3 linked regions of the Alligator mississippiensis genome follow. The protein of the gene in region 3 purifies or fractionates together with the protein of the main gene of each other region. This does not show direct contact. Links are inferred from orthologs where the notes say so. Each region holds a gene or a part of one and is shown on either strand. Other genes may lie near its edges.

What was found.
Region 1: the proteins of EXOC6 (region 3) and EXOC7 purify together in Homo sapiens (affinity purification with mass spectrometry; 4 studies listed by BioGRID and IntAct, counting the BioPlex papers as one, with this or other methods). This does not show direct contact. The link is inferred for Alligator mississippiensis from reciprocal best matches to the Homo sapiens genes EXOC6 and EXOC7.
Region 2: the proteins of EXOC6 (region 3) and EXOC3 purify together in Homo sapiens (affinity purification with mass spectrometry; 6 studies listed by BioGRID and IntAct, counting the BioPlex papers as one, with this or other methods). This does not show direct contact. The link is inferred for Alligator mississippiensis from reciprocal best matches to the Homo sapiens genes EXOC6 and EXOC3.

The regions. Positions count from the first base shown.
Region 1 is NC_081831.1:13,532,006-13,542,429, reverse strand, and holds the start of EXOC7 (exocyst complex component 7), read left to right. Parts: upstream 1-6,264; 5' UTR 6,265-6,312; coding exon 6,313-6,372; intron 6,373-7,819; coding exon 7,820-7,885; intron 7,886-8,890; coding exon 8,891-9,075; intron 9,076-10,424. UniProt on the Homo sapiens protein: Component of the exocyst complex involved in the docking of exocytic vesicles with fusion sites on the plasma membrane.
Region 2 is NC_081826.1:146,162,999-146,173,827, forward strand, and holds the start of EXOC3 (exocyst complex component 3), read left to right. Parts: upstream 1-6,049; 5' UTR 6,050-6,154; intron 6,155-8,816; exon of another isoform or gene 8,817-8,995; intron 8,996-10,829. UniProt on the Homo sapiens protein: Component of the exocyst complex involved in the docking of exocytic vesicles with fusion sites on the plasma membrane.
Region 3 is NC_081829.1:70,364,271-70,374,716, reverse strand, and holds the start of EXOC6 (exocyst complex component 6), read left to right. Parts: upstream 1-6,219; 5' UTR 6,220-6,236; coding exon 6,237-6,319; intron 6,320-10,446. UniProt on the Homo sapiens protein: Component of the exocyst complex involved in the docking of exocytic vesicles with fusion sites on the plasma membrane.

The sequences.
Region 1 (10,424 bases), on a different chromosome or scaffold from region 3:
GAACGGGTTTTAACCACACATCCAAACTGGGATATTACAACCTTGAGGCCTCCCTGTAAGGTCCCCTTTTTGGTGATCCTTTAGGTAAGAAAGGGCACCTCTGCCCCATGGTACCCAGTTTGAGGGTTGAACTGGGAGCAGGTGTATGATTAGTGGGGGCACAGTGGCTGGGGGTGGGGGGAGTCTGGCAGTTCTGAGGTGCCAAGGAGACCTTTGCAGCTGGCTCATGCTTCTGTACATCAAGCAGCTCCTGCAGCTATTCTAATTTATGCTGCAGCAGGCCTGACCACCAGAGCAAGGCAGAATCTGGGAGGCATGGGCACCTCTGGGCTCAGCCTCTGGAGGGTCATAGCAGAGAGTCTGCTCCTTGGATTCTAGCCAAGGAATCACAATCGGGGATATGGTTAAAGCATGGACTGTTTGTGTGTAGGGCACAGCTCTGCAATGCATGTTACCTGGGGTCCTTATATAGTAGTTAGGACTGACCATTACATCCCGAACTAGCATAGTTGCAAATCACACTACAACCGTGGCTGAACACTGTGCTGTCTTCCATCTCCCCATGCAGTGCTTGTAGACAGCTTCTGTTTCTCTGGACAAAGGACGAAGCTATGACTCAACAGACAGTGCTATAAGAAGTTGGGTCACCATGGCTCTTACTCCCAGTGGTTGGTAGTGTGGCTCACATGGCTGACGGGATGACAGTAACCCTCAAATTTGGATCAACTCCAGAGCTGTGCCCAGAGCCAGTTGGCCCCTAGAGTGGACTGGAACGCCCTACAGAACGGATGTTCCCACTGCCATCTCCAGCTTTCCAGTGGTGGCCTTTGCCACCCGTGTGGTCATATCTGGTACAGCTCGTACCAGGGCTGAGTGCTCAGCCAAGAAAGAGCTAACTGCTCCACCTGAAAAAAGCTACTAGCTCCTTCTGGCTTCTAAATAGCCCTGAGGTTTGTGTAGAGAGGCCATTACTGCACATTGATTTGCTGTAGAGGATCAGCAACTTCTCTGTGACTTTACTGAGATGTCAACATGGCACAATTGGTTTCCCCGGCTTTTGTCTTCTTCTAGTCCATTGTGTCTTTTTTTCCTGCAGTGGCATAGGCTCATTGCTGGGCTCCTACACAGGGCACCAAAAGGAATCTGGCCTTTTTTATTTCCTCCTCATTCAAGATGCAGGTAACATATGAGCCTGGCTGTCTTTTCCCCTTTCACCTGAGTACCTGCCGTGCCCCACTCAGGAGGGGAGGCATTGACCCAGTGGACACCATTGGCCCCAAACCGGTTTGGCCTCTCCCACAACAAGTCTCAGCTCTCCACCCATCTCTCTCTGGCCAAGGGCTCAGAGGTTCGCGGTCAAGTAGCAATGAGGAAGTATCGCCCTTTTGTGTAGTTGTGCAGCTCCACGTAAGTAGCTGGAGACCAAAGCTGGGCATGGCAGGGCAAGGGGACAGGGTGGTTCACGTGCTCTTTCCTCTCCCACCTTTTGAGGGTCCTTGCTTGGAAGTTGGACCAAGCTTAATTTCTAGCTAAGGAACCAGCAGGGACTAAGCACCAACTGGGGCCTGGTGACTGGACTTACCTTGCACACACTGTGGGGCCCTGCACTGCAGATCTGGGCTGAGCGGGTGTTAAACAGGTGCAAGGACAGTGTGGGTCCCATTCACCTGCTAGAGGCCCTGGCTTGGGGAGAGCCGTGTACCCTTTCTGCTCCCACTCCTCTTCAGCTTCGACAGCAGCCTGGGAAGGGACATGGATAAGGCAGCATGGGGGAAGTTTTCACTGTGGCTGTCCCTACCCATTTGGCTTTTCAGATGGAAAAGTTTGGTGTCCAGGCCTGTCAGGTAGACCATCGCATGCAAAACCTCTTCCTAGGAATTTCTTGCTAGGTCTAGGTATCAGGGACACTGGAAGGATCAAAGGCTGTCACTCAGGTGAGGACAGGCCTGGTTCCATCCTGGCACAGGTTAAGCAAAGCCCACCAGACCTAAAGACCTGTCCCACAGGTGGAGATGAGACCACTGACAAGCCCACAGTTCAATGTCCTCTGCCCCTGTGATGCCAGGGCAGGCTGCTCCTGCCCAAACACACCGGCAGGCCTCAACCTTCACATAGGGAGACTGCTGCTCCAGGGAGTGAAGTCAGCAGTCATGCTGAGATGGATAACAGTGATTTCTTTTGTTCTGTGGGCATTTCCTTCACCTGGGTTACTGAACAGTCATCAGCGGGTGACTGTTTCCAGCCATTACCAGTGTGGCATGGCTTGAATCTGGAGGCCTGGAGATGAAGCGCTCAATATCCTAACAGCACATCGGTGGCAGAGCCACACAATCCTACAGTCTTTTTTTTCATTTACTTTTGGAAATAAATATTGGGTTGTTTGTTTTTTTTACTTTAGCAGACCCTCATTCGGTGACCCTTTGCATTTTATTAGCAATCAGTGCTCTGTCTGACAGTTTATCTTTCATGCAGTGATGAAAGTGATTTGCATTTGGTCTGGTGCTGTACGGGTGAATGGTGCCTTACCAGAGATTGATGCTTATCTGTGGTTTTTATTTATAGTACATGCTTGATTATGTGACCAACTGATTATTGGCAGGTGCTTCCTAGACAAGAAGATTGGTTCAGAGACTACAAGCCCTGCCCCTTCACAAGACCTTCTGCAACATAAATTCAGTTCCTTGCTCCAGTGAAAACAGTGAGGGGAGGTTGGGTGCAGGAGACAAGGGTTGGTGCCTGAGAAATGGCTCGCATGGTTCTCTTCCCCCAGCTCCTCCTTTTTCCGTCAGTGGGCCAAGCCATCCCACAGGGGGTGAGCAAAGCCTTTTTGCTGGTCTTTTACACATCAAGTCCTATTCAGGAGACCCTCACACAATATGATGGTGTCAAGGGCAGGGTCTAGGCAGCACCTCTAGCATCCAAACCTTATAGTGGATGAGTGGGACAGCAGGAGGAGCAAACACGCACAGTAATTCCATCCTGCGGAAAGAGGATGGATTTCCTGAAGCTCTGGTTAATGCCCCTTTCAGCTATATGACCCCTTAAACAAGCCTGCAAGCTAAGACAGAAAAAAACACTATTTATGCAGCCAGATCAGCAATACAGCAGAAACACAGCAGCAGTTTGGGGGGAAAGAAACAATTCCAATATTGCTGTGGTTCCGCTTACGCCTCAGATCTCATTAAGATAAAGCATGTCACTGCTGCGGCAATAGGGTACAGGATGCAGGCACCAGATCAGCAGAAGAAGAAGGTGACTTGAAGAAGTTTCTATCTATATATGTCAAACAGACCTCTCCAGCCCTGCCACCTCAGTTGAGCCTGAGAAATAAATATGTTAACGCAGTCACCAGCCAGCAATTTTGCATGCAGAAAACACAGTTATATGCCCCCCCATTCAAAGAGGCAGTTGCACAAACACAGCTGTTTGCCACATGATAAGGCTTTCTGCAATAGAAACTGAAGTTACTGAACAAAGGCTAATTTCAGCTCCCACCAAGCTACAGGGAGAGAGAATAATCAATGTGTGCCAAAGGGAAGACAAGTGAGAGGGGGCTTTTCCCTTCTCACTCAAAGTCTCCAGGAGGGCTTAACCAATAGCAAATAAAATCAAGCCACCCAGAGTAATGGGATGGGGTCTCAGCCAAGGGCAGCACCCCAGAAACTGCAACAATCCTGATTGCTGTGAGCAGCACAAGAGGCTGCAAGAAGAGTCAGTGCCAGATGCAGTGCAATTAAAATCCTGTCCCTAGCTGCCAGCAGGGGACAGAAGATGGATGCACCAAGGGGCATGGTGCTCTTTCTCCTCAAGAGGCTATGCAGGATGGATCTGGAGCAGGGTTAACTGGATAAGGATTCCTGGCTTCTGGCCTCATAGCTATAACTGCCTTTTTATGGGGCACCAGGCAAGCCCCTTTTTGTTTCTCCCTCAGTAAAATAAGGCTGATCATTCCTACCCAGCAGAGCAGCTCAGAGATGCCATTAGTTATCGGGAAAGCCCGTTGACAGGTCAGATACTTTGGAAGGGCAAAATCCAGTTGCTTTAATTTTATGACCAATGTGTCGCCTAAATCAGCTCTGGCCCCACTGTGCTTGGTGCTGCCTACATAGCAAATGATTGGTGCTCTGATTTATTAACAAGCATCACCTCAAGCTTCCTTCTTCTCATGCCTATGCTGCTCCCTACTGTAGTGCTGGATCCCAGCTGCAAAGAGCCAGCAAGGGAAATTCCCTCCTCCTCTCTTTATGCCAGGTTTCTAGGCACAAGCAGTATACTCCCCGGTAAGCTGTCCATTTCCCCCTTCCCTCTTGGTTTTTTGACTTTATCACACGCAAATCTATTTAAATTGTATGCAGATCTGTTCTCAGTATGGTATGATATTCAACTCATTCGGCAGCATCGAGATCTTTTCTCCCACTGCAAATGAACACTAAAGATAAATAGCAGGTGCGTATGGCGAAGCGGGGAGAGAAAGGGGCAGTTTGGATACTTTGCATTTGTTAAAATAGTTTTGCTCCATGGCTACTGGAGGTCCCTGTCTCCAGTTCTTTCACGTTGGTGCTAGCCACAGAGCCTCTCTAGCTGTCTAACTCTCCCCCCTTGAGGATGTAGAGAAGGAAAGTTGGTGCCAGGGGACATCTGGTGGACATGCTGCATTTTGCACAGTTCTGGCACTTGAGCAGGGCTGGGAATTGATCACGTTGCTGTCACTCTCCTGCCATCATCCTCATGATCACAGTCATGATGTTGGACTTCCAGTTCTCTCAGCATTTTCCACTTGGAAGGCACAGGTCACACTGAGACCTGCTGGCAGCTAGAGGCTCCCAGGGGATGCTGCCTATCTCTTCTTACATACTTCCAATCTAGCAAAGTATTTCTGTGCCCCTGTTCCCCGTAGCACCTGAGAGCCTCTCTACTGCAGCAAGAAAAGACTGCATCGGGATGAGAATTATCAGGAGGAAGGTATACGAGGTCAGGGTGCTCATGTGAACTCCTGAAATGAGAGGGAGTGTCTAGGGACCTCCTCTCATCTCCACGTGCAGGGGGAGCAGTGCACGGCACCTATTAGGGCTAATTGGCATTTCTGTGCGTCAGCAGCAGTTAGTCAGGCACTGAGGTGAGAATGGTCACCCTGGCATTCAGTTATTTTTTAGTGGCAGCAGCAGCACAAGGCACTGTGACATCCATTAACAGGGCTGAGCACTTTTATGGCCTTTCCCATTCAAGCATTGCAGAGTATGTGAAAGCATTAATCTTCGTGATGCCTCTGAGAGGTTGGTAAATGGCATCTTCAGGCACGCTTAGAGCGAGAGGAATAAATGATGGGATAAAGAGATTATCCAGCATTGAACCAGAAAGTCAGTAGCAGCACTAGCAAAAAGAAACCAGGGGCCTTTACTCCTGATTCCCTGCTAGTCAACATCACAAACTTGTGGATAAGGCACAATATGAGGTGCTTTATCCATCAGCAGTCCTGGGTTTTCCAGGGCCAAATGTCAGGCTGTCCCAGAGTTCTCCAGGACTCCCTCTCGTGGGATGCAAGCCCCAAATTTGAACAGCGAAGCCCAGATCGGTATAGGATCAGGTCCAGCATTGGACAGGCCCGGAAGCTGACCAGCCGCTGCCAAGGTCAGGGCTGCTATTAGCCAGCTGTGGGCCTCAGAAGCGTCTCCTTGAAACGTGGTCACTTGAACCGGAAGACTGGGAGAGCCTGGGCCCAAAGCAGCCTGCTGGGAGACGGGAGAGCAAATGTACTTCATCGCCTTGTGCCTCAGTTTCCCCAGGCAGAACGCAGAGGGAGGTGCTGCGCTCCCGGGTCGAGGACTGCCACCCAGCAATGAGATGCCATGCAGGGGCCAGCGAGGATCGTGCACATGGGGTACGAGAAGAGAGAAGGGCCCTTGATGCATGCAGGTGAACCTCGATTTTGCCTGACACTGCTCTAGCGGAGGCAGTAAGAGGTACAACAGCCAAGGCATGGCATGGCACGCGCACCACATTCCTCATCTGCTCCCTACTCATCACTAGAGATGCATGCAGTCAACACTCCTGGAAAGCAACGACACTCCCAACGTGGCCTTCCCCGGGCCACTGCCACTCCCAATATGGCCGCTCCCTGGAGGCGCGCATGCGCCTTGTGTCCCTATGCAGCGCACCTGTGCGCCGGTTCCCGCCACTCCCAAGATGGCTGCCAATGCCGTAAGGGGCGGGAGGTTGCCACTCTCAAGATGGCGGCACGGCGGTGACGGGGCCGCGGCCGGGTCGGGCGGAAGTGGGCGGTGGAGGCTGTTGCGGCCCGGGCTGTAATGCGGGATGGTCCCCACGGAGGAGGCGTCCGCGCGGCGCAGGGAGATCGAGGGCAAGCTCAAGCAGGTAGGGGGGCGGGGCGGGCTGCCGTGGGGGGGGGGGGGAATTTCCCCGCCCCGGGCCTGGGCGCACACACCCACCCCAAAGCACACCCTCCCGGCTGCAGGCCTGGCACACCCCACGCTGCACCCCCGTCCTGCCCCGGGGCCCGCACCCTGATCCGGATTAAGCTGCAGCCTGAGGAGCACCAAATGCAGTCACTGCAGCCCCAGCTTTGGGGAGCTGCACAGCTGTGGTGCGCCCACCCTCCCTACATGTCTGTACACATATGTGCCATGTCTGCGTATTCGTGCGCTGTACATGTATCTGTCTCTGTGTGTTATATGACACGAGTAGATATACACATGTACATGCATGCGCTCGCTCGCTCTCTAGGTATAGAAAGGAACTCACTCGCTCTTATCTATATATTGAGAGAGAGAGCGAGTGTGCACACACGTGTGTATATTTGTGTGTCCTAAAGAAAGCCTATGGTCAATGGAGAAGAGCGAGAGTGCACAAAAACATACCTGTATGTGTAGATAGATATAGAGATCTCTCCATGTAGGTTTATATCCGTATCTAGCTCTTTATAGATATAGAGATCTCTATCTAGATATAGATATATATCTTATCTATGGATGTCTAACTATAGATCTATCTATATATGTAGATACACACACACACACACACACACACACATGTCAGCATATATGTAGATGTGTGTGTGTGAATGTATATATATAGAGAGAGAGAGGGAGAGCGTAGGCTTGTCAAGCATGGCCCACAGGCTGGATCCGGCCCACAGAGCCCTATGATGCAGCCCATGGATCCCTGGACTGACTGCACACACTGCATAGGGCAGGTCTGGGTCTGGGCCTTGGCCCTGGCCCTGGCTGTGTGTGCTGCACGCGGTGCATGGTCTGAATCCAGCTCCTCCCACTGCACGCAGCAGACAGGTTAGTTCAGGGTATGCACTGTATGCGGTGCCCTGCCAGACTGGCACAAACCTATCCTACCATTCGGTTTGTACCTGCTGCGTCCATTGGTGGGCACAAGGCAAACTGCTGAGCCATGTTTAAATTGAACTTGGAGCATGTCAGACACGGAGTGAGCAACATAGGTAGGAAGCAGACACTAGGACCAAAGTTGTGTCTGCGCTCTGTACCTGCACCATAGATTTTGCTTCTGGCTTCCGGACTGCAAGCTGTACGTTGTTGCATTGAGGCTCATCATGCCCAAGGAGAAAACCTTCCCTTATTTAAATTGTGTGTTTAGGTCACACTGATTATGTTGCTTTCTTTGGGGTAAATACATTTAAGTAGAACCTAAATACTAGGTCTAGAATGATTTGCCAGGATGTTCCTTCTAGGAGGAGTTAGAAATGCTGGGAAATGTTTTGCCTCTGAGCTTTGGAAGTTCACCTGTGCTGCAGAATTGATTTTTTTTTTCTTTCTTTCTATACCAATACCAGGAAGAAGAAACACTGTCTTTTATAAAGGAGAGCCTGGAAAAAAGTGATCAGCTCACAAAAAACATGGTAAGTCAAATCCCTTGAATTCAGTGAAAAAAGGAAGGGTATAGTTTGCTTAGTATCTTGTTTATATTGTTAAAACAATGGTCCAATGAACAAATTACCTAGAGATAAATTGGGGTGTGAATTTATAATGTTTCAGGTGCTCTGTGGTAATTGCCCATGTGTGTGCTGTTGTCTTGCAGTATGTGAGAAGCATTCCCTGCTTCCGTGGAGGGTCATGTCCTATTTGCTGCAGGGTTGTAGCATGCATATAAGCAGTTATCATGCAGTAGCTGATCTGTCAACCTGTACGCTATCTTACTGGGTAGTAATTTGTTTGTCTGACCATACCTTGATAGGATTTTTTGGGGAAACTGATGCAGTTTTTGGTACCTGATATAAGAGTTATAAGATATGTGATGTATTAGACCTCTTGGTGAAAGAGGAAAGGTGATAAAGGTAGTTGGTTAGAAGCCTGTTGTTTGTGAAGCTGTAGTCTCTCTAGGTTCCTGTATATCTCCCCTCATCTGAGTGTCTCCCATGTATGTGGAAATATAAGTAACTTTCTCTAGTCAGCAACAAGCTTATGTTGTTGAGTTTTTCTGTTTCTATTTTTTTAACTGTTAAAGAGGAATTTATTAGCAAGCTGGGTTGAAGAGTTGAGTCTTGCACTTAGTCCTGAATACAGTGATTTTTGTGGCTTTTTATTAACTCATTTGTTCAAGAGTTCTGTAGCTGAGGTCTGTCTCCTTAAAGATCTGTCTTCCTATGCTTGTGAGCCTTTCCATGACTGGTTGCCAGTCTCATGGTTCCAGTGCGATGCAGCTGATGTTATGAAACCTACGTGTAGAGAAGAGGAGATGAATTGGATCAGGATAGACAGGTTAAGTGACTTGCCTAGGGAGCTGTAGTAAATCCATAGTAGAGTGGGAATAGAGGCTGGGAGTTCAGGATTCCCTGCTCCCTTCTCTAATTGCTAAGCCAAAACATAGTGCTGCTGTCTGTTCCCCTTTTTCCTTTGGCTTGTAGGTTTCCATCCTTTCCTCCTTTGAGAGTCGCTTGATGAGACTGGAGAACTCAATCATCCCTGTGCATAAGCAGACCGAGAATCTGCAGCGCCTGCAGGAGAATGTTGAGAAGACCCTGTCCTGCTTGGATCACGTCATTAGCTACTACCATGTGGCAAAGGACACTGAGAAGATCATAAAGGAAGGGTGAGTACAGCTGCAGTACACTGCTGTCCTCAGCTATGTTGCTGGATCTCATTGCTGTTTAGAAGAGTAGGAGTTGTTGGATCCCACAAGGATCTTGGTGATCTCAGTACTCTTTTACACATTTCCAAGACCTTCTTCCCACTGCATGCTGCAGACATGTCAGCCAGACCTATCAACAGTGCCCCCTGAGGGAAAGAGCTTGCTCTTCTCTCCATGCTGTTCATACAGATTCTGCACTTGGTCCCCAGGCCAAGTTCGAAGCCAGACTGTGGGTTCCATTCCTCACATTTCCTACAAAACCTCTAGCTTCCTTGGAGACTCCACTGCCTTTTTAGGCAGGTTGGACTGGGGACTCTGCTTCCTCTTTTAGATGTTATTGTTCCAATGCAGCTGTGTGATATGCGCGGCTTCCTCTTTGCTAGAAGCTGTGTGTTCTGCTTACTCAGCATTCTCATCATTTGCTGGTTTGGGGAGAGACTGATGGCTCCAATCTCCTGTAGCATTGCAGAGTAAAACTTACAGCAGTGTTAGGCTACCCACTATTTTATATGTGAACTGGATCTTTTAAAGCCAGCTGTTCCAAAATGCCTATTGAGAGAGCTGCATAGGTATCAGGACACAGTAGAGGAATAGTGTACTGCACTTGCATGTCTCAGATAAATGCACTGTTTTGCTTCATGGCATGACAGTGCCAATCCCGATTTATTACCTGTTGCTTTTGCTGTAGCAAACTTCAGTTTTATGCATCTTGGGCCACTGACAGACAGTAAAAATAAGGTGTGATAGAATCTCATGCACGATCCCATGCAAAGCAGGAGGTGATTGTGGGATCAGGCATCAGATCCCATCACACCATATTTCAGGGTAGGGGGAACCCAGGATCATGATCTTGGGTTTGTCTTGCCCTAGCAATCATTGCTCCTGTATGTGGGAGCTCCATCAGGTAATGGCACAGCCAGCCATGGGAGCTCATGGTGCACCCTATGGATGGGAGCTCCCAACACTGACAGGACTCCCAGCCATGGTGAGGAGCACCCTGAGCTCCCACAACTGGCAGCTCTGTCAGCAGTTCAAGGCTTCCCCAGCTGGAACGCTCGGTCAGTGGACCAGTACTCCCAGCTACACTCCAGAGACTGGAAGCACTGGCCACCTGTTCAATTAAAGACATGATAGGAACTAGCAACAAAGTTATTACATAAAATATGTGTAATAACTTTGCTTGTTCTGGGTTTTATAACACCGTCAATGGAATGAACATGCACCCATGTCGCTACTTAAGACACATTAACAAGTTTAACATCTTCAGTGTTACTATGTGTCAGGGGCCCCAGATAAAGGCCAAAACAGCT
Region 2 (10,829 bases), on a different chromosome or scaffold from region 3:
ACATGCATGTGTGTAAAAGGGACACAACATAACAAATCCCTGTAATTGAGAGACTCTCCTGAAGAGAAAAGAGCAAGGGTGCTGCCCAACGCAAAACTTGATTTTTGTGTGGTATAATGCCACCTGGCAGCTCCCCATGCCTCTGCGCTACATATATTGCATTAAGAAACCAAGTTAGATTGGGATTGTGAGGCAAAATCCACTTTGGGTCACCCCAAATAAGAAATCTCTGTGAGTGAGGGACTCTCCTGAAGCAGCCTGGGCAGGAAACTGCCTGACCAAAGCTTAGTTTTCAAACGGCATGACGGCAATGTGACAGCTCCCTGGGCTAAGGTTCAGTCACATGACTCCAAATCACATGGCTGTTTCTTTCAGTGTTCTCTAGTTTACCTTGTTGCTTTATGCCTTGCAGTTTTCCTGCTCATTTGGTGTTGAACGCTGTACTGTTCCTCTTCTATTAATTTCTAATGTGAAAAGGTGAGAAAAGATGTCTTGGAAAAAGATGAAGATATGGTCAGTACCTTTCTGCATGAATTGCAATGGTTACAGAAAGAAGACTTCTGAAAAGAGAAGTCAGCTCAAGGCCTCATTGCTGGTAGAATTCATAAAAACACAATGAACTTTAGAAAATGGCTCTATAATCTCTGGCATGAGGATAAGAGGTACTTAAAATCAAAAACCTTTAATGAAGCTTTAATGATAACTTACAGTTTTTGCAAGAAGTGTGAGGATTCAGTCATGTGCAACATAACCACCGTAATGATCAGGGATCTGGGTTTTCTGTTTGCTGTGGAAAAAAACACGGATTTTCTCTTTTAATGGAGAAAACCACGGTTTTTCTCCTTTAAAGGAGAATATTATGTACTTCTTTTTTAAAGGAGAAAAACATGGGAAACCGTAAATTTCTCCTTGCAGGCTGGCAGAGTTCCAGCCTGCCAGGGCCTCCTTGGGGCTGGAGGAAATGGGGGAGGGCGATCAGAGGCAGGGCGTACCACGTACATGTGTGCACGCAAAAGCATATGGCAGCCAAGCAGAGGTGGAGAGCAGCTCCCACAGCTGCCTCCAGGTAAGTCTATGGGGGCGGGGCCACAGGATGCATTGGCTGGGCAGGGGGGGCATAGACAATGCAATGGGGGGTACACGTGCCTCCCAAGATTTCTGTGCCCACAGCAGGACATGAGGCTGCAGCCAATCTGGACCAACTCTGGGCAGGAGCCACCTCCGCAGCCCAACAGGTGGGATCCAGTGCAGGAGGGAGTGTTGCGCCACCATGGTCATCCAAGTGAGGCACAGCTGCAGCAGGGGCATGGAGCTATGCACCCACTGCTGCTGGGCAGGCAGGGGGTGCCTCTGCTTGGTGATCATGGTGGCATGGCACTCCCTCCCGCACTGGGTCCTGCCCACTGGGCTACAGAGGCAACCCCTGCCCGTAGCTGGTCTGGCCTAGCTGCAGTCCCGTGTCCCACTGTGGGTGCAGAAATGGGAGGGGAGGCATATGTCCCCTCCCACACCCCCAGGTGTTGCCTGTGCCCACGCACCCCTCCCCCACGCCATTCCCCACTCTCTGGGGGGCTGGGAGCGAGGGGCATCAACAGGGCTAGGGTGGCTTGGGAGTGAGGGGCAACGGCATGGGCAGGGGCAGAACATCAGCTTATCAGGGCTGCTCAGCACCACAAAGCAATTGGAGGGAGAGCCTCAGCTAGACCCGTATCCTGCTGAGCAAAGAGGGGCAGGGATAGCTCTGATTTTCTATGATTAAAAAACAAAAAACAAAATCAAATGCCAAAAGATATTTAGGATTTATTTTATTATAATGACTGAGGCACCGGTAGGCTTCCAAATAACTTTAAAATTGTAAATATATCAATAAAACATGGCGTTCAACTCATACCTATATATTTGGTGTTGCATTTTAATCACAGAAAAATGCGGCTATTGGGTTTTTTAATCAGAGAATTTGGGATTTTTTTATCAGACAAAACCAGGATCCATGTAATGATTAACTTCACTCGCCTAGGGTTTCAAACTGCTTAAGATGTTGTAGACATAATATATCATGCTTCTGTCTACCACATGAAGCTGCACTGAACAGTAGTAGCTCTGCCAAGGTACCACACAAGACCAAAGAAGGTTCCTTTGATTCATGAATAGATTCAGGATTTCCCCATTTTACAGATTCTAACACTACTCAAGATACCAATGCTGTATGGTCATCAGCTGAATAATGATGACAAAGAAGAGGACATTCATTTCCTAAAACAATATAAACAAACACATTTTTGGCTCTGAATCTATGACTACTGGGCAAAATATACTTGTAGGGATAAAAATTAGAGTTGCACCAATTTATTGGTCCATATCATATCAACACTGATAAAAGGGAAATTGACATTATCAGCAATCAGCTGTTTTTGGCTGATGTGGCCAATAATGTTGGTGATAAATGCCACATGCAAGCACGTGGCCAGCCCAGCAGCTTGGTGTGCAGTATATGGCTGGTAAGTCTGTTGGGGGCAAGAGGCAGGGGGAGAGAAGGGGCATGGGGTGGGGGCAAATAAAGGCCCCCATGGTGAGGGAAAAGAGGGGATGGGGCTGGGGCAAGTGCTGTCTAGCCAGGACAGGGTGCAGGATGGAGCTGCGAGCGACTCGTCTGTGGGGGTGCTGGAGCAGAGGGTGGCTTCCTCCGCATCTGTGCACAGGGCAATGGTGAGCTGTTGCTTCCTACTTGTTTCCAGAAGTGGCACCAGGCTCTTCCTGGAACGGGGGGGGGGGGGCACGTGGCAGGGCTGCACTTGAGCTGGGTGGCAGTGGGAGGGGGGGCTACGGGGTGGGCTACAGCCCTCCTAACCTCTCCTCCCAGCTCCACTGCCACTCACTCCAAGTGCAGCCCTGGCCCAGCCCCGCCACACCAGAAGAGCCTGGCACCGCCTCTGGCCCCAAGTAGGTAGCAGCAGCCCACTGTCACCCTGTGCACAGGTGCAGGGGGGAGGCTCCCCCAGCATGAGCGGCTTGCAGCTCCAGCTTGCAGCTCCATCCTGTGCCCCACCCTGGCAGAGCCTGCCCCATCCCCAGCTCCCTTCCTCCCCCACCATGGGGGCCTCAATCTGCCCTCTCCATGCCCCTCCCCCCCAACAGACTTACCAACTGGACACTGCTCTCCAACCTGCCAGGCTGCATATCGGCAATTGGATTGGTATTGGCCAATATGGTTTGTTAACAATCAGCCATCGGTATGGGCCCAAAAGATCTTTATCAGTGCACCCCTAGTAAAAATTGTAGAGATTGATAAACAGTTAGCTAGCAGTGACTCTGACATTAATAACAGTGATTCGAGGGCATTGTGAAAACATTACAGAAAATGTTATGTCTGGAGCTTCCTTTCCACAAGGAAAGTATATTTACTGCTTCATGTCCATCAAGATTCAATATAATTTTTTGTAAGGATGAGTGGAAACAAATTTTTCTAACATCAAAATTACTGCTACAGTTAAACAAATGGACAGATGCATTTTGGCCAAAAAATTAAAATAATACAGCATGTTCTGTGTTTTAACATGATTATGTTTAAAAACAAAAACACAGAAATCGAGACAGATGAATGTTCCTTTTTGATACAAAGCAAAATGCAAAATGCAACTGGGATGGGTGTTTTTGGTTCTTTATGAGAACTGAAGGGAGACCAGGAAAACATGATCAACATATAATAAGTGAAATTCAAGTAAAAGGAGAAATACAACACAAAACCGGTAAAATGCATGAAAAGCACACATGCTGGAAAGAAAGAGGAGAATTAAGAGAACTGAAAAAACACTGCCATGCATTTGCATTTTCACAGACCTACATTTTACATATTGGCTTCTATTCCATCCAGGAGAGCACAAAACAACAGCAGACTCTCCCCATGCCTGAAGAAGGGTGTTTGTGCCTGAAAGCTGCAAAGAACAATATTTCCAACTATTTAGTTGGTCTAATAAAAGACAGTCCATGGAAAACAAGATGTTTCTGGTAAAGAATACATAAAACTTTATGTGCTCACATGCAGGACATCACTGCATCACCTTTCACACTGCTCATGTACAGGACACCCACCTACACCTAATGTTTGATCTTTAGAGAGCAAGGGTGTGTAACTTATACCTGGATATCAGGGGCTCTGTTGTTAGAAGACCTCCATCATGTAATCATTTAATCTTGTATTATGAATTATATGCTAAGTTGCTATCCAACTCAACAAACATGTCAGTTGCAGAGACACTAACAGTTGACCAGAGTATTCTAACAATATCACGGTGGCAAACCTTGCTTTTCCAAGCAACTCTTCCACATCACAAAAAGTAAAATGTGACTTCAGTTGGGCTTTAATTCCTACAGCTATTTAGGTTTTCAAGCATATGAGTGCTATACATCACCTAATGCCCACTTTGAATTACGTCCTGGGAAAAGGAAAGCTGATATTACAATTTTACACACATGTGTAACACATATGATCAAATATATGGGCATGTATCTAAAGCTGCAGCTTCTAAGAATGTCAAGAATTGTTTATATATGCCTTTGCCTTATTGTGAACTGAAAAAGCAATACATGAATGCAGGCAATTAATAAACTCAGCATAATTTTCAGTGCAGCACATTTTAACAGACAGTGCAGGGAAACAATAACAAAAGTAAAACAATGTATAAAGAAATCAGCAGACCTCTGTCTCTCAAAATGAGGCTGAATCAGGTTCCTTATTCAAAGTTAATCTTTACACAATTAAGAAACTGGGAATATGGAACTGGGAACAAAGAACCAATCAACTTCAGCTTCCTCTCTCCAAATCATTCTAAACCTTGACTAGGAAACTGTAATTGAAAAGAAACGAGAATCAATTTGCAGTCTCAAAACACATTATTGGAAGAATACTTGAAAATCAAGCTTCAGGGTGGGCTGTGCCCTGTTCAAGGTGCTTCCAGAGAGTCCCCTGATTGCAGAACTATGTCACTGATGGTGACCCAACACAGATTTTGCCCCACAGTCTCAACCTAACTCGGCTCCTTACTGAGCACGGTGTACAAAAGTCCAAGGGGGAACCTGCCAGGTGGCACCACGCTATACAAAAACCAGGCTTTGTGTTGGGCAGCACCTCTGCCTTTTTCTAGAGGGCAGCCACGTGTATAATAAACACAAATGCTTTTAGCTCCTATGGATCTGAAGAAGGAACAGGGAACCGTGAACAAGGAAAGAAGAACTGGGGACCAGGAACCAACTCCAGCCTCAGAGGAAGGGAGAACTGGGCCCATCTGGACAAGATACAGAACCAGGCCTGTCTGGTGAGGTGAGAACTAGGCCGAAGACCTGGGGTCACAAAGAGGTTTGGCCAGTGGCACCCCAGTTTTTTGCCCTGGGGACTGGATGGGCAGGGCGGCAGCCCCATCCAGCCATGATGGCTGGGCAGAGGGGCAGTGGCTACCACTCTCCAGCTGCTAAATTTCCCACCCCATGAGAAGCCCTGTGGGCAGTGTTACCAAGTCTGCTTATAGTAAGCAGAATTAGGCTTGTTTTTTGGGTTTTTTTAAGTTGCTTTAATTTTTGGGGAGTCACGGGTTGATAAGCACCCCTGCTCTCCTCTCTTGGAAACGGGTCAGGCATATTTTGAAAGGCAGTGCCGCTCTCTTTTCTGAGGAGACTTGACAACACTGGCCCTGTGTGGGACACCAGGGCACGGCCGGGGTACGTGAGCCACGAGCAGGCGGCAGAGCATGGTCAGGAGGTGCAGATGCTTTGGCCACTGGGATCCACTGCCGCTCACCCCAGGCCCCGGCCAGCACCTGGCTCGACGCCTCGAACCCACCCGCTGGCCTCCACGTGCAAGAACATCGCAGGCGCGTCCGTGAGCACAACACTGGTTCTCGCGAGACTCCCGCCTTCCCCTGCAGTACGCCCGCACGGAACAGAGGGGAAGGGTTGGCGCAGGCGCAGTAGGTCAGTAGCGACGGTCGAGCGGGGCGGGGGAAGGGTTGCAGCGCAGGCGCAATGGGGGGGAACGGGGGAGACTCGCGGGCGTCGCTTCGGCAGTTGCGTCAGGCGCCTGCGCAGTGTGCGCCTGTCAGCGGCTGCTCGGGGCCGCCGCGGCAGCGGGCGAAGTGACAGGGCCGAGCCGGGCTGCTGCCGGGTGAGTCTCCTCCTTCTCCTCCTCCAGGGGCCCGGGGCCGGGGGGAGCGTGCGGGACGGGCTGTGACGGGGGTTGGGCAGCGGCTGTCCCACGCCTCTGGCCCGCGGCCCTGCGCAGGTGGGAGCTTCCCTCACCGCTGGCTCCGCTACAGAAAAATAATCGTCTCTTGAGCTTCGCTTGTGAGCCGTGTTGGGGCCCCTCGGCGCTTCTCGCAGCCTCGGAGGCGTTTCAAGAGGCTGCAGCGGGGCCAGGTCTTACATATGAAGTGATCGCTTTGGAAGCTCCAAATTATCGTATTTGCTGAAACGCTATCACAGATCCGCAAACAAGCACGCAAGCGAGTCTTTTATTGCTCACTACAAGCCGTCAGTGAATGGGTGGGAACTGGGTCGTCAAAGTTGAGTCATTTCTTTCTTTCAAGGCCAGCCGGCATGAGAAAGTGCTGACAGCAAACCTCAAAGTGACTTCAGGCTCCCAGAGTGACATGGGTTTTGCATGTGCCATGTCAATGAACTCCCCAGCCCTGGCTTCTTTACTTTTCATTCCATCCAGGAAGAGCACACACCAACTGCTGAAACTTCCTTAGCCTGACGAAGGGTTTTTGAACTCGAAAGCTTGCTTAATAACTATTCTCCAGCTATTTGGGTTGGTCTAATAAAAGATATCAGATTCGCCCAAGGAACCTTGTCTGCCTATGTCCTTAGACCAACACAGCTAAAACCTACACCCCAAAAACTGGTGTACATTTTAGCAATCAGGACTCATAGTAGAGATTATATCTTTTATTAGACCAGCAAGATTTTTGCACGCACAAAAAAAATTCTTTAATTTTTTTTTTTTTTTCAAAAATCTAGTTGGTATAATGAAAGATACTATCTCTACTACGAGTCCCGATTGCTTTTTTCTCTAGACCAATATGGCTACAGCCTGGATAACATCATAAATTTTAAACACTTTTCCTGTTGTTGGTTGTACATCATGCAAAGGTTGAAATTATACAAATAGGATAATTATTACATGCCTGGCAAACTGGTGCCATGGTGCCCTGGGGGAGAAGCACTGCCCTGAGGCTTTGTGCGTAGAGGTCAGGTGTTCTCTGACAGGATTTGTTTCTTATTCAGGAGGCTGTCTCACATCCCACTGATGCTCTGCCCTCACTTTAGGACAGTGTTCATGCCCTTTACAGACATGGGTGACGCGTAGGGGGTGTGCCAGCAGTGAAACCACTGCACTTCCGGTTTTGCTGCTGGCTCGACGATCCCCCCTGTCAGTGATCTGGTGCACCCCCAGACTCAGGAGGCACCAGTCACTCGTGCTCACAGATAATACGGCCCTAACCTCCCATTTCCAGTTTTTCTTTCCAGCCAGTGTGGATGGACAGCAGCTGAATGTGGCAACCTTGCTGTTGAAATAAGTTGCTTTGATCAACAGTGCAAAGGAAATTAGTTTTCACAAGTCTTGTTTAAAATGAATGTGGTTAGATTGGGAAAAAACACCTTGTTTACTAGTAGGGACCATTTCTGCCAAGGAAAGGCAGGAGCTGTGCTCTTGTAACTGCGTTCTTAATGGGGATTTCATGTGTGTCACTATTTTGGTTCAGAAAGAAAAGCAGACCCCCAATTGAAATGGTTATTCCTATTGAGTTTTTAACATGGACCAGGCTTATATTATGTAATTCATATAAACAAGGTGTGGCTCTTTTCTTGGCAATTCACTAGGAATTGTAGGTGACAGTGGTGTTAGGATAGAGGCTGCAGTCTTGTTTTATGGTTTCTACTTTCCTTCTATACTACATGTATCTAAAAAAGGCCCTAATTTTATGCTGACAGTTGTGTTTCATTTGAATCTAGGAGTGATTTTTTTTTTATGTTTCCAAAATCATGTTGAACAGATGATGAGAATTTACACATTTTCTGTTATGACACATTCTTGTTCTTAAAGGGCATTCTAACATGTCAAACTGAGCATGTGCATATATACAAAGATAGCTGCAGTACTGAATGCAGATTAAGTGCTTTTGCACATGTGTTGTTTTGAAATGCAGAGTACTGGGAGTTTCAGAAGACTATAGTTTGTGTGTTTGCATGTGCGTGCAAACATGTTTGTGTTCAGTAGGAGTTTTTTTTAATTTCAGAAAGATGTACAGTTTGTAGCATCACCTTATAAGACCAACAGTCTCTTACCAGCAACATTTTCCTAGGAACATTTTTCAAACCATATATTCAGATGATACTCCCTAAAACAACAAGTGTCACTTAGGAGCAACATAATTTGTAGAAGGGATTGACTGTTCTGTGAGTTTGTATTCCCCTTTTATTTTTAATGGGTTAACCAAAGCCTTCACTATGGTAATGAAGCTGCCTTGTGGCAAGGATCTTTGATTCTAAAGCTTAGAGGTAATTAGAAAAATCTTCGGGGTGGAGGGAGGAACATTATGGACTTCCTTTCCTTTTCCGTGTCCTTCTGACAAGGTATTTAGCAGAATTCACAGATACGTTGGAACTTGACAGGGCTGTGCCATGAACACTTCTGCTATGGCCTCAAGCTTGCAACCTCTGGGCTGTCAACCAGTGGGATGGAGGAAAATGGGGCAGAGACCTGTCTTAACCCTAAATTAAGGGACTCTTTCAGAATGGCTCTTTCTTTCTCTTGTTCTCCGTAGAGATAGAAGTTGAGATAGAAGTTCCTATACTCTCAAGACTTAAATAGAAACACTGTGAGGAGTTGGTGAATAAAGGGAGTGGACATCTTTGGAGGCTGGTTTTGGCTCAGTTGAGCAATGAGACAGAGGTACCATTTTGGAAAATTTGTGAGATTCTCCAGAGAAGATGAGACTGGCATGTAAGTAAGGGTGCACCGATAAAGATTTTCTTGGACGATGCCTATAGTTGATGATTAGCCAACCACACATGCCAATCCGATAACCAGTATTTAGTAATAGTGCAAGGCATGCTATTGACATAAACCTCTTTGTTTTGCAACGCACACGCACACACACCCACACCCTTCCTGCCTGCTCCAGCCCTTGATGAGGAAGGTGGTGACTGCCTTTTTCCCACATATGTTGCCCCCTCACTCATGGCTCTTAACCCCAGCCCTGCTCCCCACACAGTCTATGCTGCCATCCCGGGCAGGCGGGACGAACCCTTGTGTGGACAGCAGTGCCAGGGGCATTTGAAGCCCAAGAGCATGCTGCTGTCTCAGCATGGTGGGCCCTGCGGAGCCAAGCTCTAGCAGTTGCCAGGGAGAAGCTGCTTTTGCAAAGCTGCTTGATGAAGTAGAATGTCCCTCGCACAGTGCCTTGCCCCTCCTGCATGCAGCCCTAGTGCTCAGGCCCCTGCTGTGCACATTGCTTTGCCATGGCAGCAGCAGGAGCTGGGAACAATCCCTTTGTTGCTGAGCAAGGCACCCTGTGACCGCTCCCCGGTGCCTCCTGCTGCTCACTGGAGCCTATAGTCTGTCATGAGATCAGGTCAGTGGCAGAGTGCAGGAACCAGACTACGCTTGCCAGGGTGCTCTGGGCATGCCACTGTAATTATCAGCTACCACAATTTTAAAAAGTCAGTAGCCAATAACATCATTTCTCCTTTTATCAGTTCTCATCTGATAGCCAACTGATATATCACCCCTACATGTAAGCTTTCAATTATGAAAACTGGACCAGAATTACTAGGAATTAAGTTTCAGTACATGGACTTCTCTATTATTTGGATGATTTGGGAAAAAGAGAGAGTGAGATAAATCTCTCAAAAGGAGTCATTTTTAATATTGATTTTTCTCAGCTGTAACTTAAAAAAAGCAAAAACAAAAAAAACCCCTATTCCATATTCAAACAGAGTTGTAATCTTGAATGTAGTAACTTTTGGTGTCTAATAAAAAGCCTGAATTTTAACTTTAAATAAAGAATCCAACAAATCCTGAACTACGGAGCTTTCAATCTACAAGTCCCTAATAAAACAAATGTGTATGTTCAATTTGAACACACAGTCAAGAGAGTACAGATTACTTGGGCCTCTTTCTACCAATTGCAGTTTTCCATTTAATCCAAAATGTTCTGAGATTTATTTTTTAAAATGATGTATCAAGGTGAAATAATGGTATAGCAGATGTGTAGGCATACCCTGAGATGAATAAAATCTGTGTGTGTTGTCGTAAGTTTCAGAAGTGGAGACCGGATGTTTGGAAGATAACTTTTAGTATTATCTTTGACAGAGAAAGCACAATCTCTGGAAAAACAGTTATTGTAAAGTTTCCTGGTTCCGTTTCTTCTTAGTATGATTTCCCACATAATCTATTATTTGATATTTTACTTTTCTATATTCAGAATCTTGCATATCAAGTTTTGCAATTTGTGTTCTTTTGGAGGAGTATTTAAAGCTTTAAAACTTTTTAAAAATGCGTATTCTGGAAATACAAAGCAGGTCAATAGTATTATTCAGATCTTTGTCCTTGAGTCGGAGCCACATTCCCAGATAGACAGAGGAGGCCTTTGTTGCTGTTGAAGCTTGATAAACTAAGAAGCAAGAGCCTTTATGTCAATTCTTTCTCCAGTATTTGCAGAGTGGGTATTGTGCCTTTTACTTGGTGTAATAGATTGAATTGGCAGTTTGGAGATTCCTGGTTTGTGAAAGTACATAGTTAATCTCCAAGATGGCCCAGGAGACTCCTTACAGTT
Region 3 (10,446 bases):
GGAGTAGTATCATTTATGAACTTTGTTGATGTTGACTCACAAATTCTGTGTAAGTGGAGAAATCTAGGAAATATAGATATTAAAATTAGACCCACTGGGTAATCCTTTTAATACATTTTGTAATTATTATATTAACTTTTATAATGTTCACAATAACTTGAAAGTTAATATGTGTCCAACAGAGTCAAGATCAGAACTGTTAGTCTGCGTTTGTGTGACATCCAGTGGCTGGATGGGTCAATCACAAGCATGCAAAGACCTAAAGGACTTGTCACAAGCTCTGCTTAGTACACAAACATAGCAGACACCTGAAATATTTATATTACAAAGCAGTAATTGAATTTGTAGTTTAAAGTATAATTAGAATAGAGGTCTGTTTGAGAAAACCCATAATCAAGAAAAAAATTACCCTTTTTTACAAGGAAACAACTCTTTAATTCATTGTTTCTCAATTAATTTGGCACTTAATTTGTTTTTCAAAACTGTCTGAGATTGATATTCATTTGAGGCAGCTGTATTAAGTATTTTTCCTTACTGGAATCCAGGTATGGCCAACCTGTTGCACAAGTGCCACAAGTGGTATGGGCAGCCTGTGTGTGGGCCACGGCAAATTGGAGAGGAGACAGGCAGTATAGTGGCTGATAAGGTAGGGGGCAGAAAGCAGAGCATTAGATCAGGCAGGGAACATGGGGATAAAAGCAGAAAGCTTATAAGACTGGCACTTAGGGAGAGTGCCAGGCTAATTTGTGGCACACCTGCCAAAAATGTTGGCCCCCACTACTGTAATAACGATCAGACAAGGACTTGGAAGTTAGTTGTGCTCTAAGTAGAAGCAGGTGTCCATTCACATGTAGCCTACATAGAGAACGGAGTTAATTTTATGTAAAACACAAATGGATACTATTTTAAAATCACCCTTTGTTAGAACTTTCTTTTAGAGGTGCACCAATACATCGGTCCATCAGATCAGTACTGATGTAAAGGAAATTGGCTGTATTGGAAATCAGCCTGAGGCAGCCTCTAGTTTGGCCAATAAATGCCCCTGCGTGTGGGCAACCTCAGTGCAGCACATGGGCAGTGAGAAGCACAGCCTAGCAGTGTGGAGTGCTGTGTGCAGCTGGTAAGTCTGTTGTGGTGGAAGGGGAGAGGGGAGGGAAGGGTATGGGGGTGGGCACATCAACAGCCCCCATGGTGAGGGAGGAGGCAGGGGCAGGCACTGCCCAGCCAGGGTAGGGTAGGGTGTGGGATGGAGCCGCAGCTTGTGAGGGAGACAGAAGCTCCTGCTGGTGTGTGCACACCCGGAGAGTATGGAGTACACATGTGCCCCCAGATCTGCACGGGGTAGGGTGGGCAGGCTACCTTTGTGGGCTGGACCCGGGGCTATGCTGGGCTCTTCTTGTTGGGGGCTGGGCTTGCGGCATGGCCTATGGAGGGGGCTGCAGCCCCGCTAAATTTTGCTCTTCCTGGCACATGGGTGGAAGCAGGGTGTTGACCTGAGGCTGTGCTGGGCGCACAGCAGCAGTGCTGGGAGTGGGACTACAGGCGGGCTATGGTGAAATTTGAGGTGGCTGCAGCCCCTTCCATAGCTCCTGCCTCGACCCAAGCCCCCACCAAGAAGAGCCCAGAGCAGCCCCAGGTCCAGCCTGCAGCCTACCCACCCTGCCCCATGCAGATCTGTGGGCACATGCCCCGCCCCCCCATGCCATCCCAGGGTGCACGCAGTGGTGGGAGCCGTCCCCATCACCAACAAGCCGTGGCTCCATCCTGCACCCTGCCCCACCCTGGCTGAGCAGCACCTACCCCTGCCCCCTCCCTCCTCACTGCAGGGGGCATTGATCTGCCTCCGCATGCCCCTTCCCTCCCTCCACCCCATCCAGCACAGCAGACTTACCAGCTGCATGCAGCCGTATTGGAAATCAGATCGGTATCAGCTGATATGCCTTTTTAAAAATCGACTATCACTATCGGTCCCCAAAATCTCCATCAGTGCACCCCTACTTCCTTTTATTTATTATAGCTGTAAATGATACTTAAAATTACTAAACCTGAAAGAGATGTCATGTTTACAGATTCACAGAAGTTTAGGGCTGGAAGGCACCTCATAAGAAAGATCATTGGGTCCAGCCCCCCTGCTCTGGGCAGAAGAGACTGCTGGGGTCAAATAACTCCATCACGGTGTGCATTCAGTCTCCTTTTGAAAATCTTTAGGGTAAATGCCTGCACCACCCCTGCTGGTCACGTTAACGTTCTGCATTCCACAGTCCTTTTCCATATGTATAGTTAGTTTCCTGTTTGTGTGGGTATTTCACAAAGCAAAAGGGAAAAATTAATTACTTAAAAATAGGAAAATGTGATTTTTAAACTCTCAAAAACTGATAAAGCATAAATATTTGTAATGGCTTTTGGTTTAGTACTTATTACCAGTAAAATATTATTGAATATTTTATTAACACAACGATATTTTTACGACAGTTTTTCCATTTAAAATAAATAAGGCTTCAATAAAAGACCTTACTGAACTGGGCATAGAGTAATTGGCAAATGCTATGGAAGGAGACAGGAAAACAGCAGCTGTGCAACATTCTTGGACACAAAGTCCTCAGGAATCACGAGGTCAACGCAGGGCCTGTTTTTGCATTGCTGATTTTGCTGAGTAGAGAATCATTCTGTTAATAATAATAATAATAATTCCAATAAAAGTCTTTCCCTAAAGTTTGAACAGTTTTGTACTCATCAATGGCTGGAAAAAACAAACCAAGCTTGGTAGAGTTTTATTCTGAAGAAAATCAAGACCAAGTGTATGAAAATGCCCTTGCTGAGATTGAGTCCTTTGAGCTGCCCCTTGGGACCACTTTAAGGTAGGTATAATTTAGATCATGTTATATTATCTAAAATAGATTTGTTCCGTTCTTTGCCTATTATTTCCTTCAGCTCCAAATACCTGAACTCTGGTCATCTTATACTGGAATATATAGAAAAATGGCCTTTGAATTCAGTGGGAGCAGGATTGGCTCCTAAAGGAGCAAACATACACTAGGAGCTACTTCTGTTCAACCTCTTCCCCTGAGGGCAAGGACTTCAGGTACTCTATGAAGGAAATTATTTTAATAAATTATGTAAGAAGTAATAACTATTTTGCATGATGGAATGTTTTTAATTTGATGCCATTAGCTACGTGCCTGAAAATAGGTGACTGTTATTTCCTATACTGTAGATAGACATTATTTTTATTTAATTTTTAAAATACAATAGCATGCATTTAGTGAGATTCCTAAATGTCTGAAAATCTGAGTAATAACACAATTACAATTTGCTAAAAGAAGGCAGCAAATGAAGATAGTTCTGATTATTTTCATGTATATAATGTTTATCTATCTCTATCATAGATTATAGTTGTAAGTTGCATGTAAAGTAGTATGTTTACATTTAATTATTAGTATCTGCAGAAGTTTTATAAATAGCTTGCCTGGCATTGTGGGTATCAGACTGCAGTGAGAATCAGTCAAGAGGAAGAAACCAAATACATTTAGAAGTAAATTTAAATTGTCCTACAACTTGTTTCTGTCTAGATTGGTGATGAATAGAAGGAACACAGGAAGAATTTTACTTGATACATTATTTATCGAAGGAAATTTATAGAGGTGGCCAAAACTGATGAAAGAGTGCCCTTCATGAATTGGCTTCCTCCTGTGACATTGCCTAACCAATACTTTGCAGGAGCTTGTTGACATATAGAAAAAATCCATGTTGCTAAAAGCAGCAATCATCATTAAACCCAGCTGAACCAGCATTAAACATGGTTTAGCCACAAACATAAACACGCTGCAAATCATATTCAATGCCATTATATTACAGTTACTAAAATAGAGTAAAATACAATTGCACCTTGCCCATGTTCTGGAATGGTTTAACTACACGCACCACTGAAAACTGCTGTCAGTTTTTCAGTGCTAGAAAACTCATAAGTGGCCAATCCAGTTTAAAATTAAGCTCTTAAGGTCCACATTTTCAAAAGTTAGCTTCCATTTGTGAACAGATACATTTGCCTAGACAGCAGATGCATCCTGTCACATGAACACTAACAACTCAGGTTTGGCCCCTGGACATTAACAATTTTGTCCCCAGTCTGCCAAATTATACAATTTAAACAGAAAACAATCTAATCCTACTTCACTAGAAAATAAGAACCTTGATGTTACATGAGCCAAGGAGCAGCAGAAAATCTATATATATGATATATAGATCCATGTAGATCTTGACACTTTTAATCCCCAGTTTACCAAATTCTAAAGGCTAAATGGACAGAAAAATACAGCAGCTGCAAGTATGCCAGAAAAAGTGGCCCAAAAAACTCCATATTCAGTACCTAGATCTTGTTGAATCCAGCTTGTTTTTTTTTTTAACCCAAGCCCAAAATTTCTACCATCTAAGAGAAGCTAGTTGTTCCAGTTCCACCGCATCCCTGTTAATAACACTGCAAATGCACTTACACACCTGAAGCTTGCTGTATGCTAATGATTTTTGGCTGAAAGCTTCCAACTTGTATGGTCAAAAAAGAGAAAGCATTTTAATTGCTACTTGATCAAAAAATCCAGGCTCTGACATATCCTGGTGCAAAACCAACACAAGGAGGACATATATCTGACAGTTGGGCTCGGCTGGATCTATAACATTTTTGCACACAGCCCCATGCGAATCCAAACAGATTTAGATCCAGCAAGATAAAGCTAGATTCTTAAAGCTATCTTGACCGCTCTGAAATGCATCACAAATAGATGCAGCGTGACATGATATAAAAAAGGAAGACCGCACTTGCTATTTAAAAGAAAAATCTCTGCAAAGATGCATGAAAAAATGGACCGTTTAAGGCCAGTTAGATTTTTTAAGTGCTTCTGTTTCAGGATGTAAAGCGGGAGACAAGAGAAGAGTTACACTGGACTCTGAGAAGTGGTATTTGTTCTCTGTTATTTAGCCCAGAGATGTGTGGCCGAAAGCCCTGCTGGACTGTGTTTCTGAAGGTAGGGCTGTTCCTGGGGTGGGGGTGTGAACCGGGTCAACCGCCCCGGGGGCCCTGTGCTTTTGGGGCCCCACGGAGCTGGGTGGAGCAGTTGCAGTGACTCCGCGCTGCTGCTGCTGGCTTCAAGTCCAGCTATTGGCATCTCCCCACCACCGAAATCTGCTGCTGAATCTGGCATGTCTGGCCACTCGGCACCCTGCCTCTGGCTCCCTTGTGTCTGGGGGCAGGGCCCTGCACACTGCTCCGGTCATCTCTGCAGGACTGGTGCAGACAGTCCAGACTCTTTAGAGTAGGGGGAGCGGCTGCACTTGCTGGCTGTTCATGGCAGGGACTCACCGAGTTTGGATGGGTTGGGGAGGCAAATCTCGAGCAGATTCAGCAGGGTGCACAGAGGCCTCTCGGAGGTGTTGGGATTCCCAAGGCGGGTCCAACCAGCAGGTGAACTAGGCGGTCGCCTAGAGCACCAAAATTGGGGGGGGGGGGCTTAAATTACACCCAGAACAAAACAGCAGGAACATCATTCAAAATAACGGCCCTGGCCGGCTACAGTTCCACCTTGGTCTAAGACAGGGGTGGGCAAAATGGGGCCCAGGGACTGGATGTGGCCCACCAGCCCTTTCTATCCGGCCTGCGGTGCCCCTAAAAAATTTAGAAAATTAATATTTATCTGTCATGCAGCCCTCAATAGCTTGCCAAAACTCAGTAAGCAGCCCTCCGCCCAAAACAACTGCCCGCCCATGGTCAGCCTAAGACCTGTGGCTCAGCAGGGACAGAAACACCTCGGCAAAGATCTCGGGGGACAGACAGGTCGCTGGGCGCGCGGCTCCTGTCTTGTCAACTCCCGAGCGCACTTAGGACAAGAGCGTGTCGCTGACAACGTCGCCCTAACGATCCTCTGTACTGGCAGCGGCGGGCGCCGAGGGACACAGGTGGCCTAGGGCGCCCTCGGACCGGCCCCGGGCGGGATCCAGCGTCCCGGGCGCAGCAGGGCCACCAGCCCAGCTTAGGAAGACGCGGGGCCAGGTGGGTCCCCGGCTCCGAGGCGACACGTCTGGGTGGGGGCCGCTGCGCAGGGTCGTGCACCCGAGCCCGTACCAGGGCCGGGCCAGGCCGGGCCGGGCAGGCCGCCTCCTACAGCCTCCGCCCCGCGGCTCAGGCCGAGCTCCCTGGAGCCGGCCCCGCCCCCTCCCCCGCCGCCGCCTGGCTCCTCCCACCCAAGATGGCGGACGGTCTCCCCGAGCATGAGCGGATCCTGCAGGAGATCGAGAGCACGGACACTGCCTGCGTGGGGCCCACGCTGCGGTACGGCCGGGGAGGGGGCAGGGCCGGCGCTGGCAGCTACCCGCGGGCCGGTGGGGCCGCGACTGGTGCTGCTGGGGGGCCCGTCCCAGCCCCGGCCCTGCGCCCCCTCAACCCGGCGCCGCGCCTGCCGCAGCGGGGCCTGTCAGCGGCCGGGGCTGGGGCGGGCCCAGGGCTGCAGCGCCCTCCGCAGCGCCCCGCGGCCGTGGGCTCGCGGCCGAGGTGCGGCCCGGGCGGGCGAGCGCGGAGCTGTCAAAGGCAGTGGGTGTGTCTGGGCGCCCCCTGGGAGCAGGGATGTAGCTGCCGGCCCAGGGCCGGTGCCAGCACTTCAGTTTCTCCCTCCGCTTTTACTAGCCCTGGACAGCACCCGGGACCAGCACGCCCCGGGCAGCCGTGCTGGGGTAAATGCTGGGTGTGGGTTAGGGGCTTAAGGCAAAAGCACGTTTCTGTAAAATGAATAAGGGCAGTTTTTAATCTTAGATCCTTGCACCGCAGGGAAATGGAGTTTCCTGAAAGTCTGCTGCATTCAGCCTGGGTTAGATTCCCTCCCGCTAATAATTTAATAGCATTTGGACTTTTTGTGGAAACATTTGGACTTGAAAACAATACTCTCTTTGGCTCTTTATGTCTCCAACTAGTTTTATGCGCAGACTCCAGAAATATTTTTTGCTTTATTGTGGGCAGATGCCCTCGGTACTTTGCGGGGGAGTAGAATGGCATCATGAGGAGGGAAGGACCAGCCAGGTGGTAGGACTGGCCTGTCCTGGAGTCGCGCATCCAGTTTTTGAGATATCTAAAAGAGGAGGAGCATGGAAGGGGTAAGAGATTGGCTGAAGCAGAGAAAGGTGATGACGAGGTTGCCGGCAGTCTGGGAAGATGTTGGAACGTGGAAGAAATGAGGGTGAAGCTTGGGGAAGTGGGGGATGGTTCCAGGGACATGCAGGGGATGTATGAGAGATCTTGGAAAGCTGGGTAGCAAACAGAAGGCCGACAAACTTTGGGAGGTGTAGATAGGAAGCATGCTGGAAATTCAGAGTGGAGCATGGAAGGAGGAACGGAGAGAACTGGGTACTGTAAGAAGAAAGTGGTGAGGATTTGGGAGATTTATAAAGAAAGATAAAAAAAGGTTGAATTACCTGTCTGTTTTGAACATATTAAATGCCTGACATTTATTAGGTATAAACAGTCAGATACTTGAAGTTTTCTTTGTCTTCTCTTCTCTATGTACATTCTAGGGATTTCCTGACTCTCTCAGAAGGTAGGTTTGCTTTAGTGGGTCTCAGTTTTTGTAGCAGGAAGTGTTTCTTCAAAACTGGTCAGATATTAACTACATAGCACTGATTAACAAAAGCTTCGCTACACAAGGGTTAAGGAATTTATGAATACTGCAGAAATATCGGAGTCTTAAATAAAGATGCGCATCTTTCAAGAGCAGAATAAAATCTAAAAGTTTGGGAAGGGAATAGTTAAGGGATCCAAGGTGGTTCTCAGTTGCCATTTTGTATTGCATCATTAGATTTCCGTTTTAACTTCCGCTGGACCAGCTTTAAGCTTGTTCCCTAAAAATTATGAACTTTAAAATGACAAGTTATAGGGAAAGTATGAAATTCATATTTCATTCAAGGGATCAGTTTCAAATAAAACCATTAACTGGTAATGCAACAAAACAAAATATAGGTATGTTAGTTGCTACACATTATAGGTAAAAAATACAGTCAAGTTCTGTATAACCCTGCAGATCAAACAGCAAACAGATTTCTTAACAGCAGTTATCCCATATTGATAAAAATATACTTCTAATCAACCAGTGCATTACACTGTAGAAAAACTTATAGGACTGTGACATTGATAATGCTATCTGAGGCTGCCCCTACAAAGTAGCAATCCTCCTTTAACACTTTTAAACATACTTGAAGCATGCTTTATACTTGTGAGGGAGCTCAAAGCTCTCAGCTGCACAGGAAAATCACCTGTATGCAATACCATTCTTTCTTACAGTTTGGCTGAACAAATCTTTGGATTTAAAGTGTAGCACTGCAGTGTACTTCATAAATGAAAATGGGCCAAGTATCAGAAATAAGAGGATTAGTGTCGCAGGGTAAATAGCTAAGGACCTTTTAGCAGTTTGAGTGCTCTGTAGGGAAGATGATATCCACAGAGGGAACAAGTCGCTCCCACATCAGTAAGGTGTCATTAGAGAACAAATTAAAAGAAACAGGAGTAACATTTAACACTGCAGGGGAAAATGTCACTTTGCAATGAAGGTTGCAAAGAAAACTTTGAGAAAAATGGAGAAAGAAGACCTGATCTGGCTGAGCCAAAAAACATCTCTTCCAACTCTACAGTTGGTCCAGTAATATATATCACTAAAAAAGTTTTGCTTCATTATAGTCTGCAGGCCCTTTGCTTGAAAAAGAACTCTGCAGACTTTGGCTCAAAGTCATAATATTCCAGTAAACACAGATAGCCCTGTATCTTTTTCAAGGTAATTGCTTAAAGGAAAGTGCAAACCCTGCAGACATATCCTTTAGAATACGAGTAGGGTGGTCTGACTATGCAGAGAGTACTGATGCATTCAGAGTGTAGCTTATCGGTACTAGATATTACTTAAGTACATGTATCTGTGACTTTAACAATATCTAGTCTAGTAAATGGTGGCACAGTAATTAGAATAATCTGTCACAAGATTTAAGAATATTGTGCATATTCTAATACTGTTCTTCTTCGTTGAGAGTGTTGTTTCCTAATCGCTTGTCTGTGACACGCAGAGAATTCAGCTGTGGTTATCCAATGACAAAACACAGTTACTTCATTTTTGGCCAGTGGTTTTAGTCCTTCAGGTAAATTAAATGAAATATTGATGCTATTATGATAATCTAAATACATTTCTCTTCCTTCCCAAGTATATAATGAAGTATCTGCACAGGTTAGATTATTTTGGGCCCCTTTAGAGTGTCCTTACATAGGCTGGCTTTTTTTGCAGTGTTTCAAATGGGTGACAGCTGAATGATAGTTTTTTTATTACCATCCTTGGAATGCTGACCTAACAGTGTACATGATGGGTACCTCTGAAACAATTTGCTGTAACTTCAAAAGGCATCAGCAAGAGCTTGAAGTTGTTGCTATTTTTTAGAGCTTAAGTAGTAAAATTGGAAAATGTCTTTCAAAATACACTGTAACTTTTCAGAAGATGGAGATGCATGTAATTGATTTAAAGATCAGTACAATCAATTTATTATTGATGTGCACAGTACTGTGAGCATCTAATTTAGATTTGGTCTATAATTGAACAGCATATCTCTGTTGCATCAATTAAATTCAGGCAAGCTGGTTTTGAGTTTAGTTCTTTTTCATTGGCTTGGATTCTGGCAAATGCTGTGATATTGTTTACATAATGTTGTATTGTTTCGTGGAGGCACCAAGGTGTAGTGCAGTGATTCTCAACCAGGGAGTTTGCAAGAGTTATGCAGTGTGCCACACAATGTTAGCACTCTTAGGTTCACAAACATGATTCACAGGATACATCCAGAGGGCGTGTTCTGACAAGTATGCACATTTGAGGCACAGCAAACTGCACATGGTGCACATGTACCTGTTTGCTGAGCTGCTAATTTGCAGCACAGAATTTTTTCTGACACCAGAAGATCCTGTTGTCAAAAAAAAATGCTGCTAGAAAAAGTGGTGTGGTGCACACAGCAGCAGTGTGCACCGCCCGAAAAAGGAGCCTGGCTGGCCAGAACCACACTTTGGCTGGTGGCCAGGTTCTGAGTGGCTGGATTAGCGCCACTGCTGCTCTGGGAAGCCCCCAGAACCTCATAAGGCTTCCTCTACTCCACCCAGGTCACTTTGTCATGCCCTGGACTGCCTGTTCCGGGGAGTGCCCATGGACACCTAGCAGCAGCAGCACAAATATGTACCACTGCTGTTGGTCTCCTGGGCAATGTGCACCCCTGCATGTGTGTACTTGTCAAGATGCACCCAGAGATTTCAAATAGAAATCCTTAGTTGTGGTCTGAGTTCTTTGCAACAGAAAAGCTGGTCTGTTATTTTTTTTGCTGTCAAAAAGTGAAAACTAAGAGCTGGCATCTTTAGAGGGGTGTCTCAAGGTTGAGAACTATTGGTGTAGTGGT